Linked DNA regions of Cricetulus griseus. The protein of the gene in region 1 interacts with the protein of each later gene in a biochemical or structural test. Links are inferred from orthologs where the notes say so. Each region holds a gene or a part of one and is shown on either strand. Other genes may lie near its edges. The genes, in order: CCAAT/enhancer-binding protein alpha, Trib1 and Smarca4.

What was found.
Region 2: the proteins of CCAAT/enhancer-binding protein alpha (region 1) and Trib1 form a complex in vitro, tested with the Homo sapiens proteins (2 studies listed by BioGRID and IntAct, with this or other methods). The link is inferred for Cricetulus griseus from reciprocal best matches to the Homo sapiens genes CEBPA and TRIB1.
Region 3: the proteins of CCAAT/enhancer-binding protein alpha (region 1) and Smarca4 form a complex in vitro, tested with the Homo sapiens proteins (2 studies listed by BioGRID, with this or other methods). The link is inferred for Cricetulus griseus from reciprocal best matches to the Homo sapiens genes CEBPA and SMARCA4.

What each region holds. Positions count from the first base shown.
Region 1 is NC_048602.1:3,363,839-3,368,524, forward strand, and holds CCAAT/enhancer-binding protein alpha, read right to left. Parts: upstream 2,710-4,686; 5' UTR 2,586-2,709; coding exon 1,470-2,585; 3' UTR 4-1,469; downstream 1-3. UniProt on the Homo sapiens protein: Transcription factor that coordinates proliferation arrest and the differentiation of myeloid progenitors, adipocytes, hepatocytes, and cells of the lung and the placenta.
Region 2 is NC_048603.1:27,988,040-27,992,725, reverse strand, and holds the start of Trib1 (tribbles homolog 1), read left to right. Parts: upstream 1-1,565; 5' UTR 1,566-1,596; coding exon 1,597-1,965; intron 1,966-3,788; coding exon 3,789-4,081; intron 4,082-4,686. UniProt on the Homo sapiens protein: Adapter protein involved in protein degradation by interacting with COP1 ubiquitin ligase. The COP1-binding motif is masked by autoinhibitory interactions with the protein kinase domain.
Region 3 is NC_048597.1:134,522,742-134,527,327, forward strand, and holds part of Smarca4 (transcription activator BRG1), read left to right. Parts: coding exon 1-53; intron 54-530; coding exon 531-704; intron 705-2,427; coding exon 2,428-2,601; intron 2,602-3,961; coding exon 3,962-4,129; intron 4,130-4,235; coding exon 4,236-4,286; intron 4,287-4,586. UniProt on the Homo sapiens protein: ATPase involved in transcriptional activation and repression of select genes by chromatin remodeling (alteration of DNA-nucleosome topology).

The DNA.
Region 1 (4,686 bases):
AAGTTGAGTTTGATATGTTTATATTATAGATATAATACATACGACATCTAGCATGAAACTTTGTGTGTGCCCCCTCCCCCCAAAGAAGAGAAGGTAGCAGTCCACCCCTGCTCCCAGCCACAGGGGTGTGCACGAATTGGCTGGAGGTGACCTTCTTTCCAGACCCAGAGCCAGGGCCTGAGGGTGGGGGCGGGGGAGGATGCCTGTGTATACAGTAGTCTCAGCTGGAAGAAGCTAAGACCCACAACGACACCCTGGGAAAACTGGAGGGAGGGTGGTGGTCCTCCGGGAGCAAAAGAAAAAAAAAAAATCCCCAAACCAAAAAGGAAAGAGGGCCCGAGCTTCTTCCCCCAGCCGCTAGCGAAGAGTCTCATTTTGGCAAGAATCTGAGCAAAACCAAAACAAAACAAAAGGACCAAATAAAATGGTGGTTTAGCATAGACGTGGACATTGACATTGCACAAGGCACCGCTGGGACACAGAGACCAGATACAAGTGTTGATATCGGATGATAAAGCAAAATATTTGGGAAGCTTGTCATAACTCCAGTCCCTCTGGGATGGATCGATTGTGCTTCAAGTTCCTTCAGCAACAGCGGCTGGCGACATACAGTACACACAAGGCTGATGGTCCCGGTGTCCTTTCATCCCCTCTCCCCCCAAGACCAGAAACTTAGGTTCCCGTCTCCCACTACTCCCTTAATCACATGGCTAACTTACAGCCTAGCTTTCTGGTCTAGCTGGGGGTGGCGCCCCCCATTCTCCACGAACTCACCCAGGAAACTTAGCCTGTTGCAAGCTGAGGTGCGGAGTAAAGGTGGAGGTGGGAAAAGTAAGAACCGTGCACCTCCAAATGGATGAGGGGGAGGGGTGCGGGAGGGGTACTCTTACAGACTCAAATCCCCAACTCCCTAAGTCCCTCCCCTCTAAGGACAGGGACGGAGGGGCAGCAGCGGAGCGCTGCCTGCCGGGATCTCAGCTTCCTGAATCTTCTTTCTCCTGCCCTGGGCCTGCACCCTTCATGCTCTCATGGGGGGGGGCCTGCCGCAGCCTCGGAGAAGGCAGGGATCCTCCAAATAAAATATCAAGGCACATGTGTGCTCCCCCTACTCGGTAGGAAAAGGAGCGAGTTCTGAGTATCCAAGGCACAGGGTGACTTCCTTACTTAATACTAGAACGGCCGGGCGGGCTCCCGGCTCAGCTCCGCGGACAAGTCTCCCGGGCTCCAGGAGAAAAACTGCGGCCTGACTCCCTCATCTTAGACGCACCGAGTCCCGGCTCAGAGGAAGGGAGGGGACACGCGGAGTAGGCCAAGCTCTCAGACGACAACACCGCCATCTCCTAGTCCTGGCTTTCACGGGCCCGGGGCAGCCTGGAGATGCAGCGACCCGAACTCATTCTCCGGGTCCCCGGCCAGGGGTGGGGTGGGGTGGCCGGCCCAAAGGCGGTGGGGTCCCGCAGCCGCGCGCCTCACGCGCAGTTGCCCATGGCCTTGACCAGGGAGCTCTCGGGCAGCTGGCGGAAGATGCCCCGCAGCGTGTCCAGTTCCCGGCTCAGCTGCTCCACCCGCTTGCGCAGGCGGTCATTGTCACTGGTCAGCTCCAGCACCTTCTGCTGCGTCTCCACGTTGCGCTGCTTGGCTTTGTCGCGGCTCTTGCGCACCGCGATGTTGTTGCGTTCCCGCCGCACCCGGTACTCGTTGCTGTTCTTGTCCACCGACTTCTTGGCCTTGCCCGCGCCTGCGCCGCCGGCGCCCCCGGCGCCCCCGGGGCGGAGGTCGGGGTGCGCGCCAGCCAAACCCTTGAGCGCACCCCCGGGGGCGGGCAGGCCCGCAGCCCCCAAAGCGGGCGCGGGGTGCGGGCTGGGCACGGGCGTGGGCGGCGGCGTGGGGTGGCCGGGCTGCAGGTGCATGGTGGTCTGGCCGCAGTGCGCGATCTGGAACTGCAGGTGCGGGGCGGCCAGGTGCGCGGGAGACGCGTGCGGGTGCACCGGCGGCGGCGGCGGCGGCGGCTGGTAGGGGAAGAGGCCGGCCAGCGCCAGCTGCTTGGCCTCGTCCTCCTCGCGGGGCTCCTGCTTGATCACCAGCGGCCGCAGCGCCGGCGCCCCGACGCGCTCGTACAGGGGCTCCAGCCTGCCGTCCAGGTAGCCGGCCGCCGTGCAGCCGTAGCCCGGAGGGGGCCCGTGCGCCCCCGCGGACATGACCGCGCCGCCGGGGCCCGTCGGGGCGCCCGGGTAGTCAAAGTCACCGCCGCCGCCGCCGCCGCCACCCGCGGGGCCCGCGGCCGCCTTGGCCTTCTCCTGCTGCCGGCTGTGCTGGAAGAGATCGGCCAGGAACTCGTCGTTGAAGGCGGCCGGGTCGATGTAAGCGCTGATGTCTATGGACGTCTCGTGCTCGCAGATGCCGCCCAGCGGCTCCGGGGCAGCAGGTAGGGCTGGGGGAGGCGCGGGGCCCGCGCCCCGGGGGAAGCCGAAGGCGGCGCTGCTACTGCTGCTGCTGCTGCTGCTGGTGGGCGCGTGCGGGGGACTCTGGAGGTGGCTGCTCATCGGGGGCCGCGGCTCCGCCTCGTAGAAGTCGGCCGGCTCCATGGAGGAGTTAGAGTTCTCCCGGCATGGCGAGCCTCACGGCGGCCTCCAGCCTGCGCGTGGCGCCGCTGCCTCCGCCGCCGCTCGCCCGCTCACCGCCGCCCGCTCGCCGCCCGCCCCGCCGGAGCCCCCGACTCGCTCGCGCGCCCCGCGCAGCTCCGGGTCGCGAATGGTCAGGCCCGCGCGCGATCCGCTCTTATAGGGGGATCGGACGTCGCCCCCTGGTGTCCAAGAGGGTCCCGGGCCCAGGGCGAGGGCAGCAGGGCGCCTGCTGGGTCTTAGAGCCCGCTGTCTGTCTCTCGCTCGCCCTCTGTGTTTCTCCCAGGCGGCGAGCGGGGCGGGAGCACCGTGCAGGGGGAGAGGCGGTGGCGCAACGCCCACTGCCTCCTGCGCTGCGAGGCAGCCCGGCCTGCGCTCGGCCCCACCCTGGCGGCGCTGTCGCCCCCGCACACACGTGGTCCGCGGCTGGGCGCCCCTCCTGCAAGCCTGCCCAAGTCACCCGCTTCCAGCCAACACCGGGGAGCCCGGGAGCATCCAGAGGCCGAGCAGGGAGGGGTAGGGGTAGGGGGTGGAGAGGGAATATTCGTCTTGAGCTACCGGGGTGCAGACTGGTCTTAAAGGCTAGGACTAGGCCTGTCCCCCCCCCCCCCCCAGCCAGGGACCTAGCTGCTTTGTGACTTGCTTTGGAGCGGCGACCTGGCGCGCGCCGCAGAGTGGCAGGGGCCGGAGCGCTGAGATTGTGTGTGTCTCTCTCTCTCCACTCCAGGCGACCCCGCTGATTATTCCAGGCGGGGCGCCTCTTCCCCGCCCAGCCAGCCTCCCTACCCCGGGGTCCCGCGGGATCCGCCGAGCAGGGCGCTAGGACCCAGCAGGGAGCGAAGGCGGCCGCTAACCCGGGAGTCCCGAGGACCTGGCCGGTCCATCCGCTCCGGCTGGAAAACTTTCTTTTTAATTACGTCTCCCGGCCAGAGCGCCGGGGTTGCTAGGCTTCCAAGGCGGGCGCTGCTGCCTGGTGTGGAGCCTCTAGCCGAGCGCTTGGGACCTCGGGACCGGCGGGTGGGTCCTCCGAGACTCGGGGAACAGGACACCAGGGCAAGCGCGCGGGGGCGGGGAGAGGGCAGGGTGTGGGAGAGAGAGGGAGGGAGAGAGAAAGACAGAGACAGAGAGGAGGTGAGCGGGATCCCCAAGCGGGATCCTTAGTCAGGAGCCTAAAGCCACAGGTTTCTTTCCCTCCTGTCATTCGGGTGGGCGCCAATCTCCGTCGCCTGAGTGTCCAGTCCCTGGCTACGGAGTCTGAGCACCCCCTGGGAGTACCCTGTCGGGTCCCGGGGATCCTCGGGGCCGCGCCGCCTGCAGGCTCGCAGCTTGGGTAGGAGTTTGCCTGCATAGTCTCCCCAGCCACGTGGCGTTGGCGACGGGCTCATTCTCCACCTGGATCGCGGCCGTGGAGGTCGGGGGCAGATGGGGCCTGGTGAGCACCCAAATCTCTGCTTTCTGCACCCCGAGGAGCCTTTTGCGGCTTCCTGAGCTGGGGCCTGACGTCTTCTCGAGCCCCGTTTGTCTGCATGCCAGGCTGGGGGGGTCCCTCTTCCTGAAACCCCAGGGTGCCCAGGTCAAGACCCCCAGTGCAATGACCCTCTTAGCCCAGGAAAGGCGCTGCGATCCTCCCAGGAGGCTCAAGGAGGCGCGGCTAAAAAACTCAGTTGGGGAGGCCCGCTGTGCTTTCCACTGTGGTTAGTTACAGTAGAGAACCGACTTCGTCTGGAGGACGCACCCGTCCTTTAATCAAATTCCCATTCAACATATTCTCGGTGATTAATGACCCAACTGCTTCATTTTCGGGCCAGAGCGCATAAACAAGATATTTTTAGCTTGATGCTTTTGAACCGAGAGCGTAAAAAAAGCAGATACACTAAATAAATAACCCTGGTGTGAGCGGAGGGGCCAGATGCGCCACCCATTTATACACCAGGCACCTGTGGAGTGTCCCCTGGAGAGAAACCCTTCAAAGCCAAGTGGGATCTCCAGCTTTCTACTAAGCTAAAAATAGTGTTTGTTTGTCGTCCCCCCACCACCCCGCCAGGGGAAAGGGAACGCAGTGAGA
Region 2 (4,686 bases), on another chromosome or scaffold:
GGGCGTGGAGGTGGAGGCAGAGCAGAAGGCCCAGTGTTTGCTTTTATTTCATCCAACAGAAGGTTCTATTTGTGGAAGCGAACAGACGCTGGGGATTAGAGCCGGGAGGAGGCAGGAAAAGGAAGGGGGAGAGAGAGAGAAAAAAAAAAAAGCCACACTCACTACCACGCACAGGTCTTTCCCCGGAACTACCGCGTGGGGGGGTGGGGTGGGGTGGTGGTGAATGACTGCAAATGGAATGCATCACCTTCCCTCTCGCCCCTTCCTCCGGGCTGCAGCCGCGACTCGGCGGCGCCCGCAGCTCCACCGGGAGCTCCCGGAGTGCAAGAGCCACGGGGGACGTCCCCACCGGGGCTGCAGCCAGCGGCTCCCGCCGAGCCCGGACGGAGGGGAGCCGCGCGCCGGCCGGGAGCTCGCACTCCATTGTGTTGTGTGAATGGTGCGCGCGCGCCAATCAGCGGCCGCCTCGCCCCCGCCCAGCCCCGCCCACTTCCCCGGGACCCTGACGTCACGGGAGCTTCTCCTCCGCCCCCCTCCTTCGGCTCCGGGCCGCCGAGCCCGCGGGGCCAGCGCTCGGGTGCGCGCAGCCTGCCGCCCAGCCTAGCCCCGGGGGGCGCGTGCAAGCGTGCAAGCGTGCAAGCGTGCATGCCTGCGCGCGCGCCCAAGACGGCCCCGGACGGACGGACGGACGTTCCCACCTGCGCCCAGGCGCGCGCAGTCGGGAGCATCCCCGGGCCTCCGGCCACCCCCGCTGTCCCCCGCTTCCCACTCCATCACCCCTCCTTCCCCCCCTCCCCTCCCCAGTCTCCTCCCTCCGCTCCGGTGACTGTGAGCCGGGGCGACGGGGCTGGAGTCGTCGCAGCCACCTCATTGCACAACCCGGCTTCCCAACTGTTTACACAGCCCGGCCTGTGAGTGTGTGTGTGAGTGTGTGTGTGAGTGTGAGTGTGTGTGTGTGTATACAGCGTGAGTCACCGGGAGGCGGAGGAGGTGGAGGAAAAGGAGAAGGAGCGCACAGGCCGGCATCAGTGCGGCGCACACACTCACATCCAGCCACTCTCTCTCTGAGCGCGGCTCGCACGCTCCACCGCCCGCCCGCCCGCTCGCACTCCCGGAGCGCGCAGGATCCCGAGCGGCGCGGCAAAGTTGTGCCGGCTTCTACTCCCCACTTAATTGCTTTTGGAAGTGAGTGCCTTGGCTCCGGGAAGCCACCGAGCCTGCGGAATCCGATCCTCCAGACTCCAGCGCCCCGGAACCCGGGGAAGCCGGGGAAGCCGGGCCGCCTCCCCGTCCCGGGACTCAGCCCCCAGCGTCGGCAACAATAGCGGCCCCGATCGCCGCCGCCGCCGCCCGCGAGGCGCCCAGACCTGGTGGCCGCGGGAGTCTGGGGACCCCGGGTGGCCTCCCTCCCCAGCCCGGACGCGTGGCCAGCGTGGTCCTCGTGTGGAAGACGCCGGCGTCCGGGAACGGCTGTCGTCGCGCACCTCTCGGGGACCGATCGGAGCTCCGTCTGCCAACGGCATCCCGAGGGCTGGAAGGAATCGCAGCGCCGAGCCCGGGATTTCCAAAGCCGGGGCCGCTCCGGCCAGGGCCGCGATGCGGGTCGGTCCCGTGCGCTTTGCACTCGGCGGCGCCTCGCAGCCCCGCTCGGCTCCGGCTCTGCTCTTCCCGGCCGCCCGGGCTACCCCGGCCAAACGGCTGCTGGACGCGGACGACGCGGCGGCCGTGGCGGCCAAGTGTCCGCGCCTCTCCGAGTGCTCGAGCCCCCCCGACTACCTCAGTCCCCCGGGCTCGCCCTGCAGCCCGCAGCCTCCGCCCTCCGCTCAGGGGACCGGCGGCGGCGGCAGCTGTGCGAGCGCACCCGGGCCCAGCCGCATCGCCGACTACCTGCTGCTGCCCCTAGCCGAGCGCGAGCATGTGTCCCGGGCGCTGTGCATCCACACCGGCCGCGAGCTGCGCTGCAAGGTAAGCATCCCGGGGGCCAGGGCTGCGGGCCTGGCACGAGGGCTTGGCTACCCCGGATCGCGCCCCGGCCGGAGCTTTGGGGTTGGCAGAGCCGCTAAGGAAGGGCTTTGAAAAGTCGGATCAAGAGGGCGTTTTGGTCAGCTTCGCCCCTGAGGGCTTTCCTGTGGAGTGTTCTGCTGAGGGACCCGCGGTCTAGGGCAAGTGGAGGGGTTCATCTCGGTGCTTTTTTTCTTTGGCGCTCAAGTGTGGCTAGCGCGTGGCGTCCCATTTAAGTTTGGAATTGCAATGGATTCCAGGGCCATGCCATTGCCCTGCTCTCATCCCCCCCTCCTCCCCCTGCCCTGGACGGACGCCCTGCAGTGGGTGCCTCCTCCCGGCTTGGAGCAGCTGGCAGGCTCTCAGCCGGACGTTCGCGGCACAGGCTCTGCAGACACGGTGTCCGGCTTCTACCCAGGGGGTTCTGGCTGGAACCAGAATACAGCCCACCCCAGGGAGTCGCGGGCCTGCGGGGGTTTAAGCCTGGGAGGGGCTCCAGGCCTGATTGAGAAGAGTGTTGAGGAGCTCCCAGGGGCTCTCGCTTCCACTCGCTGTAGTTTGCGTCCGCCAGTTTTTATTGCAACCTTAGGGGGAGTACAACTCCATAGGGGATGGCCCGGCTCTCCTGGAGAGCGCGGAGCCGTGGACGGTCTGTGCTTGGTGAGCGCGACGCTCACACCCTGGTCCACCGAGAGCCCCCACCGACTGCTTTCATTCCCCTGGAGTTAAGAGTGGCTCCTGGGTTTTCAGCAGCTCACCTGAACTCCCCTCTCCCCGCTTGCTGGTGCCACCTACTGTCTACTCGCGTGAAATCTCAGATGCGTGGTCAAGCCCAGAGGGGGGGAAAAAACCTTTTTTTCTTGGTGGATGAGAGCAGTTTTGGAAGAGAAACTTGTGTGGAGGGGTGGGTGGGGCGGGAGGAGAGAGCAGCAGAGGGATTCCCCCCCCCAGTTGGTACCAGAGCAGCCACCTCAGAGGTGGGGTGGGTCTGGGTCATTGTGCAACCCCTTCCAGTTCCTCCGAGCAGATAATAGCTGAATCCAGATGGTGACAGCCCGTGTGTCACCATTTCCAGTTGCGTCTAGGATATGAGTAACCGGAGTGAACAAAAGGCCCTTAAAGAGACCAGCCAGCAGCTTCTTAGAGGATTTGCCCTCCGTTCTGGGGGTGGGGCAACTAAGGTGGGGGGAGGCGTGTAAACAGATGAAAACGGCTTTTCTGAGGTGCCCATCCCCTCCTGTCGGAAGGTACACCCCAGGCTGCCTCCACCTGAGTCACAGCCATAGGAAGGTTGCTTAAGGCAGCCTTGTCAGTCTCTCCCTCCAAGTCATCAGTCCCTCTGACTAATGACATCTCTACATGTTTGCTGCCTCTGCTTCCCCTTGGAGGCAGCGAAATCGCCACATTCCTTGGCTGTGCTGAGCTGAGCCTTCTGTGTTTCATTGTTGCTTTTCACCCTTGCAGGGATGCTGGGGTCCCTTCCCTTAGCTACCTTGTAGCAAGCCTTATCTATTAGGAAGATCCAATCCACGTCAGGCTCGGCTCCCAGGAGCTGATACCAGGCCCCTAAAAGACAAAAGTATGTGTGGACCAGGGTAGGCTTTGGAAGTTGCTAGCCGGGATCCCAAGGTGTGACTTGCTTTAAGGGCATCATAGCAGCTGGAGCTGCATAAACGGCAGAGAGAATGGACTATCCAAAGGTTGAGGACCTCAGCCCAGCTTCATGTAGGACCTGGCGGGCAGCCCCTGAACTTCTGGCCCCTAAACAGGTCACTTTATCTCCGCAGGTGTTTCCCATTAAACACTACCAGGACAAAATCAGGCCTTACATCCAGCTGCCGTCGCACAGAAACATTACCGGCATCGTGGAAGTAATCCTTGGGGAGACCAAGGCCTACGTCTTCTTCGAGAAGGACTTTGGGGACATGCACTCCTATGTGCGAAGCCGGAAAAGGCTTCGGGAAGAGGAGGCCGCTCGGCTCTTCAAGCAGATAGTCTCCGCCGTTGCCCACTGCCACCAGTCGGCCATCGTGCTGGGGGACCTGAAGCTTAGGAAGTTTGTCTTCTCCACGGAGGAGAGGTGAGCAGCTGCCACAGCACCTCCTGTGGCCCTTTGGAACCAAAAAAACTGAAGGTACAGGTCATGCAGTTAGGTGCAAGCCAAACCCAAGGCTCAGGTCTTGCCTGGTTTAGTATTAAGTCATGCTTCTGGAAGTTTGTGGTCAACCTTGGTTCATTCTTTGCCCTGTTGGATGGCGAAGCCTAGAGACACCTTGGCGCTTTTGAGGATGCTGCCTAATGACAGATACACTTCTATTTCTGTCCCAGGCTCAGGCTTTCTTGTCAGGGAGGTCAGTCCAACGGGGAAAAGGTGTTCACCTGTCCTGGAAAGCACAGACTCCAAGAGGTGGTCAAATCCTGGCTTCCATCAGTGCCTGGGCTGTGCCTAGAAGACATGACAGAGCTGGTTAGGCTGTTGTGTTTGCAGAATTCCAGCCAGCCCTACCACACTGCATTCCTGCACTGTTTTAACCTTGGTACCCTCACCCCACACCCCGAAATGGTTTGCTCACATTTTCTGGTGAGATTTTAGCCATCTCATCGGCTCCATCTTCAGAAAATACCCACATTGAAGAATAAATGGAAGTTGGCTAGCACGCACCGCTAAATATAGTTCTTGGCTTA
Region 3 (4,586 bases), on another chromosome or scaffold:
CCAAAGCAACCATTGAACTCAAGGCCCTTAGGTTGCTGAACTTCCAGAGGCAGGTGGGTCTGGTGGCCTCAACTCTGGGCTCATGAGGCCTTTTCTGCCAGTGAAAATGCTGGGTTCTCAGAATGCTTTGAGGGATGTTATCTGGGATACCTGTGTGGTTGGGGCTATCAGGGTCCCAGGAGAGTTGGTTCACTATCATGGCCCACACTTCAGTAAGACCTGGCCATGCATATCCTGTGCATACACAAGTGTGGGCTCCTGAAAGGCAGGAGGCTTGTTGAGTCTCTTCCTGAGGTTTCTGTGCTTTTACACATCCCCCCCAGGAGCTGTGTGTGTGGCTGTGGAAAAGTTTAGATCTCTCATGTTCTGCTCTTTGCTTGTCTCACCTGTGGTGCTTCTCAGGTGCCCTGTGCATTCCAGGCAGTTTGTTGCAATATCATCTGCCCAGCATGTGGTCATCCCTTGAGTATCACCACAGACATCACAAACCCATCATACCTGATGGCAGTGTCTTCTTTTGTATCCTAAAGCTGCGTCAGGAGGTGGTGGTATGCATGCGCAGAGACACAGCCCTAGAGACAGCCCTCAATGCCAAGGCCTACAAGCGCAGCAAGCGGCAGTCACTGCGGGAGGCCCGCATCACTGAAAAGCTAGAGAAGCAGCAGAAGATTGAGCAGGAACGCAAGCGCCGCCAGAAGCACCAGGTGGGTCCGCCACAGCACCTTGCAGGGTACACTCTGCTGGTCATCTTCCTGTGGCTCAGCATAAGAGTCCCTGGGCATGGGCACAGTGTGTCAGTACACAGGCTAAACAGTGAGAGGGGATGAGCAGTGGTCACATTGGGCAAGTAAGGGATGGGAAAATATAGTAAGGACAAAGAAGAAGCAGCCACCTCAGGTAAAAAGGGGGTCAGTGAAGTTTCCATGATGAGAGACGGAGAGATTTGACAAGGGTGCCAGACTGAGGAGGGGCAGTAGCCCTGGGACTGGAACATGCTTCCATATTTCATCTTGAATCAAAGATTGGGGTAGCTGAGTGAGCCATAGGGTGCACTGGGGAGGGTGAGTGAGGATCCTGCAGGGTATAGAGTCTTTGGGCTTTTGCTTTCAGCAAGGGGAAACTACAAGCAGCTGAATTATTACAAAGTCCATCAAGAAAATGAAAATCTACAGTCAAGTAGGCTTTCAGATGATTCCAGTCTGCTCATTTGTTTTGTTGTGTATGATTTAAAAATAGATTTAGATTTCTTTTATGCATATTTGTTTAAACTGCCTATATACACATCACATGCACGTACCCAAGGAGGTCAGGAAATGAGAGCATTATATTCCCTGGGATTGGAGTTACAGGTGATTGTTAGCTACCATGTGGATGCTGGGAATTGAACCCAGGTCCTCTGCAAGAGCAACAAGTGCTCTTAACCACTGAGTCATCTTCCAGCCTTGTTTGTTTGTTTGTTTTTGAAACAGAGTTTTGCTGTCTAACCCTGAATGTTGTAGTACTCTTGTGTAACCCAGACTGGCCTCAGACTCAACAGTCTTCCTGCCTCACCTTTCTGTGGGCTAGGATTATAGGTATGGACCACCTTGCTGGGGCTGGTTGTTCATTCATAGTTTCTACATTTTCAAAGTAATGACTTTTATTCCAGGATGACCATGGTGTGGGTTTGTAATCTTTATACTCAGAGACAAAGGCAGAAGTATCACAGGATTAAGGGCAACCTGAGCCCAAGGTGTAGCTCATTGATAGAGTGCTTGCCCAGGACACACCACACGGCCATAAGAAAATTTAAAGTCGGTGCTCAGAGCTGGGTGGTGGTGGCACCCGCCTTTAATCCCAGCACTTGGAAGGCAGAGGCAGGTGGATCTCTGAGAGTTTGAGGCCAGCCTGGTCTACAAAGTGAGTTCTAGGACAGCTCAGAAAGCAGGATGTGATGGGAGCTTGTTTGGAAGTTGATTTACAGTGTCAAGTTTCCCCCGGCAAGAGGCTGGCTCCCTTGGACCAGGTGTAGTGGCCCTTGATCCCAGCACCCAGGAGGCAGAGGCAGGTTGTTCTCTGAGTTTGAGGCTAGTCTGGTCCACATAGTGAGTTCCAGGGCAGCCAGGGCTATATAATGAGACCTCACAAGGGGGGGGTGTTCACTTGATACACCCACCTGTTGTGTCCAAGGGGTCCTGTCATTGCACAGGGGCCAGCAGATAATTTTGTCATAGGCAGAACTGAATATGGTAGCCTTATTATCTGGACAGTACCCCTTTCCATTTTCTTTGAGGAGCTAGCAATGGAATCCTGAGCTTCAGGTATGCTAAAGAAGTGCTCTGCTGCTGAGCCAGTTCTAGACACTCCTTTGTCTTTAAAAAGCTGTGGGTACAGTTGTACCTTACTGAGCTGAGACCTAGCCACTCCTCCACGATGTCTCTTCTGCAGGAGTACCTCAACAGCATCCTGCAGCATGCCAAGGACTTCAGGGAGTATCACAGATCAGTCACAGGCAAACTCCAGAAACTCACCAAGGCTGTGGCTACCTACCATGCAAATACTGAGCGGGAGCAGAAGAAAGAAAATGAGCGCATTGAGAAGGAGCGAATGCGGAGGCTTATGGTATCTATCAGTTTCTTGGTTTTGGTCACTGGCGGGCCATGGGGTACAGCAAATTCTGGGTTATTCATCCAGGATCATTAGATGCTCTGTGACTTGGCTTAGAAGTAGAGCTGAAGGAAAGAGTCACATACATGGATATGGGAGGCAGAGGTCTGGGCCTTTGACTTTATTCCTTCTGACTCTTAGGGCAGGCTAGTTCTTGAATTCTCTGGCTGCCTCCTGCTCTGAGCCTCATGAGAGCCATGGAAGGTACCATGAAAACTATACCCAAATGAGTCCTTCTGATGTTTCATCATGGTGTAGCTGCTAGCTGCACAGATACTGTTACCTGCTCTGGGGACACAGAAGGGTGCAGAATGGTCCCTGTCTTCATGGGGCTCATGTTTGCCCTGGAAAGAACCAAACAGACATACTAGTCTTGGGTGGAGACAATTGAGGCAGGGCTGGGCTGGACAGCTATGAGACAGACTTGGAGCTGAGGTTGAGGGCTGCATCCAGTGCACAGTGCAGAGTGGTGTGGAGGCAAAAGAGTCCAAGGAGGAGAGGAGAAGGGAAGGAAGCAGGACACCAAACCCAAGGTACAGCCAGTTACCATTGGGGCCCTAGAACCTCGTAGTGCTGGGACAGGACACCAGGCCAAGAGCTTGCAAAGTTGCATCACGTGGGGCTTACAGGCCATCGGGAAGGAAATAGATTATAGAAGGAGTACCCAGGGAAAGTTTTCTGCGCTATAGTAGTTTTTCTTTTATTTGAAATAGGGTTTCATTATAACCCTTGCTAGCCTCCTTTATATAAGCTGGGCTTGAACTCAGAGCCCCCTGCTGCTGTCTCCCAAGTGCTGGGATTACAAGCATATTCATTCATTCATAAAAGGATGTATAAAGGTTGGGGGTTGGTGGCATACGCCTTTAATCCCAGCACTCGGGTGGCAGAGGCAGGCGAATCTCTGAGTTCGAGGCCATCCTGGTCTTCAGAGCGAGTGCCAGGATAGAGTCCAAAGCTACACAGAGAAACCTTTGTCTCAAAAAACCAAAAAAAAAAAAAAAAAAAAGGATGTATAAAGGTCAAGACAGATTTGTAGAGACGGTCCTAGATTACTTAGAGTGAGGGTGGGTTGAGATTCATACTGACAGGGCCGATATCAGATAAGAAGATTGGGATTTGTGATGTGGATTTTGGAGAAAGAGTCTAAAACTCACTCATGCCCTCTATGAATGGGTCATGACAGGACTATGTTGCCTGGCAGTTACCTCAGGGTCCAGCATGGGGCTTGGGGTGTAGTAGCAGTCATGCATGAGCTTCTGCAGTCCTCAAGTGTCCACCCTGCGGGCCTGTGTTCCGCCCTGCCTTGGTTTTACAGGCTGAAGATGAGGAGGGCTACCGAAAGCTCATTGACCAGAAGAAGGACAAACGTTTGGCCTACCTCCTGCAGCAGACGGACGAGTATGTGGCCAACCTCACAGAGTTGGTACGGCAGCACAAAGCTGCTCAGGTTGCCAAGGAGAAGAAGAAGAAAAAGAAAAAGAAGGTTTGCTGGGCCTGACTAGGAACAGGCACCCCTTATAGTTGCCCTGTCTTTATGCTTAGTGGCCTGGGCCTGTAGGGTCACACTGACCTTGTCTCTTTATTTGCAGAAGGCAGAAAATGCTGAAGGACAGACACCTGCGATTGGCCCAGATGGTGAGGTAAGAAGTGAGGCTTTCTTACAGAAATGCTAGCCAGCCCTCTTTCAGTTTGTTCCTTTAAAAATGTTTGAAATCACATTATTATTACTTCATGGGATCACGGTGGATCATGTGGGTTTTCTTCTTCCTCCTTGTGAGTTCTGGGATGAAACTCAGGCTGTCAGGCATTCATGTCAAGCACTTTACCACTGTGTCATCTTGGCCTAGGGCTGGCTGAACTTGCACTTTGGGTTGTCTTGCTTCCACTTACTTTTTTCTATGCTGCACAGTGGTCGTGCACGCTTTTAAACCAGCACTCCG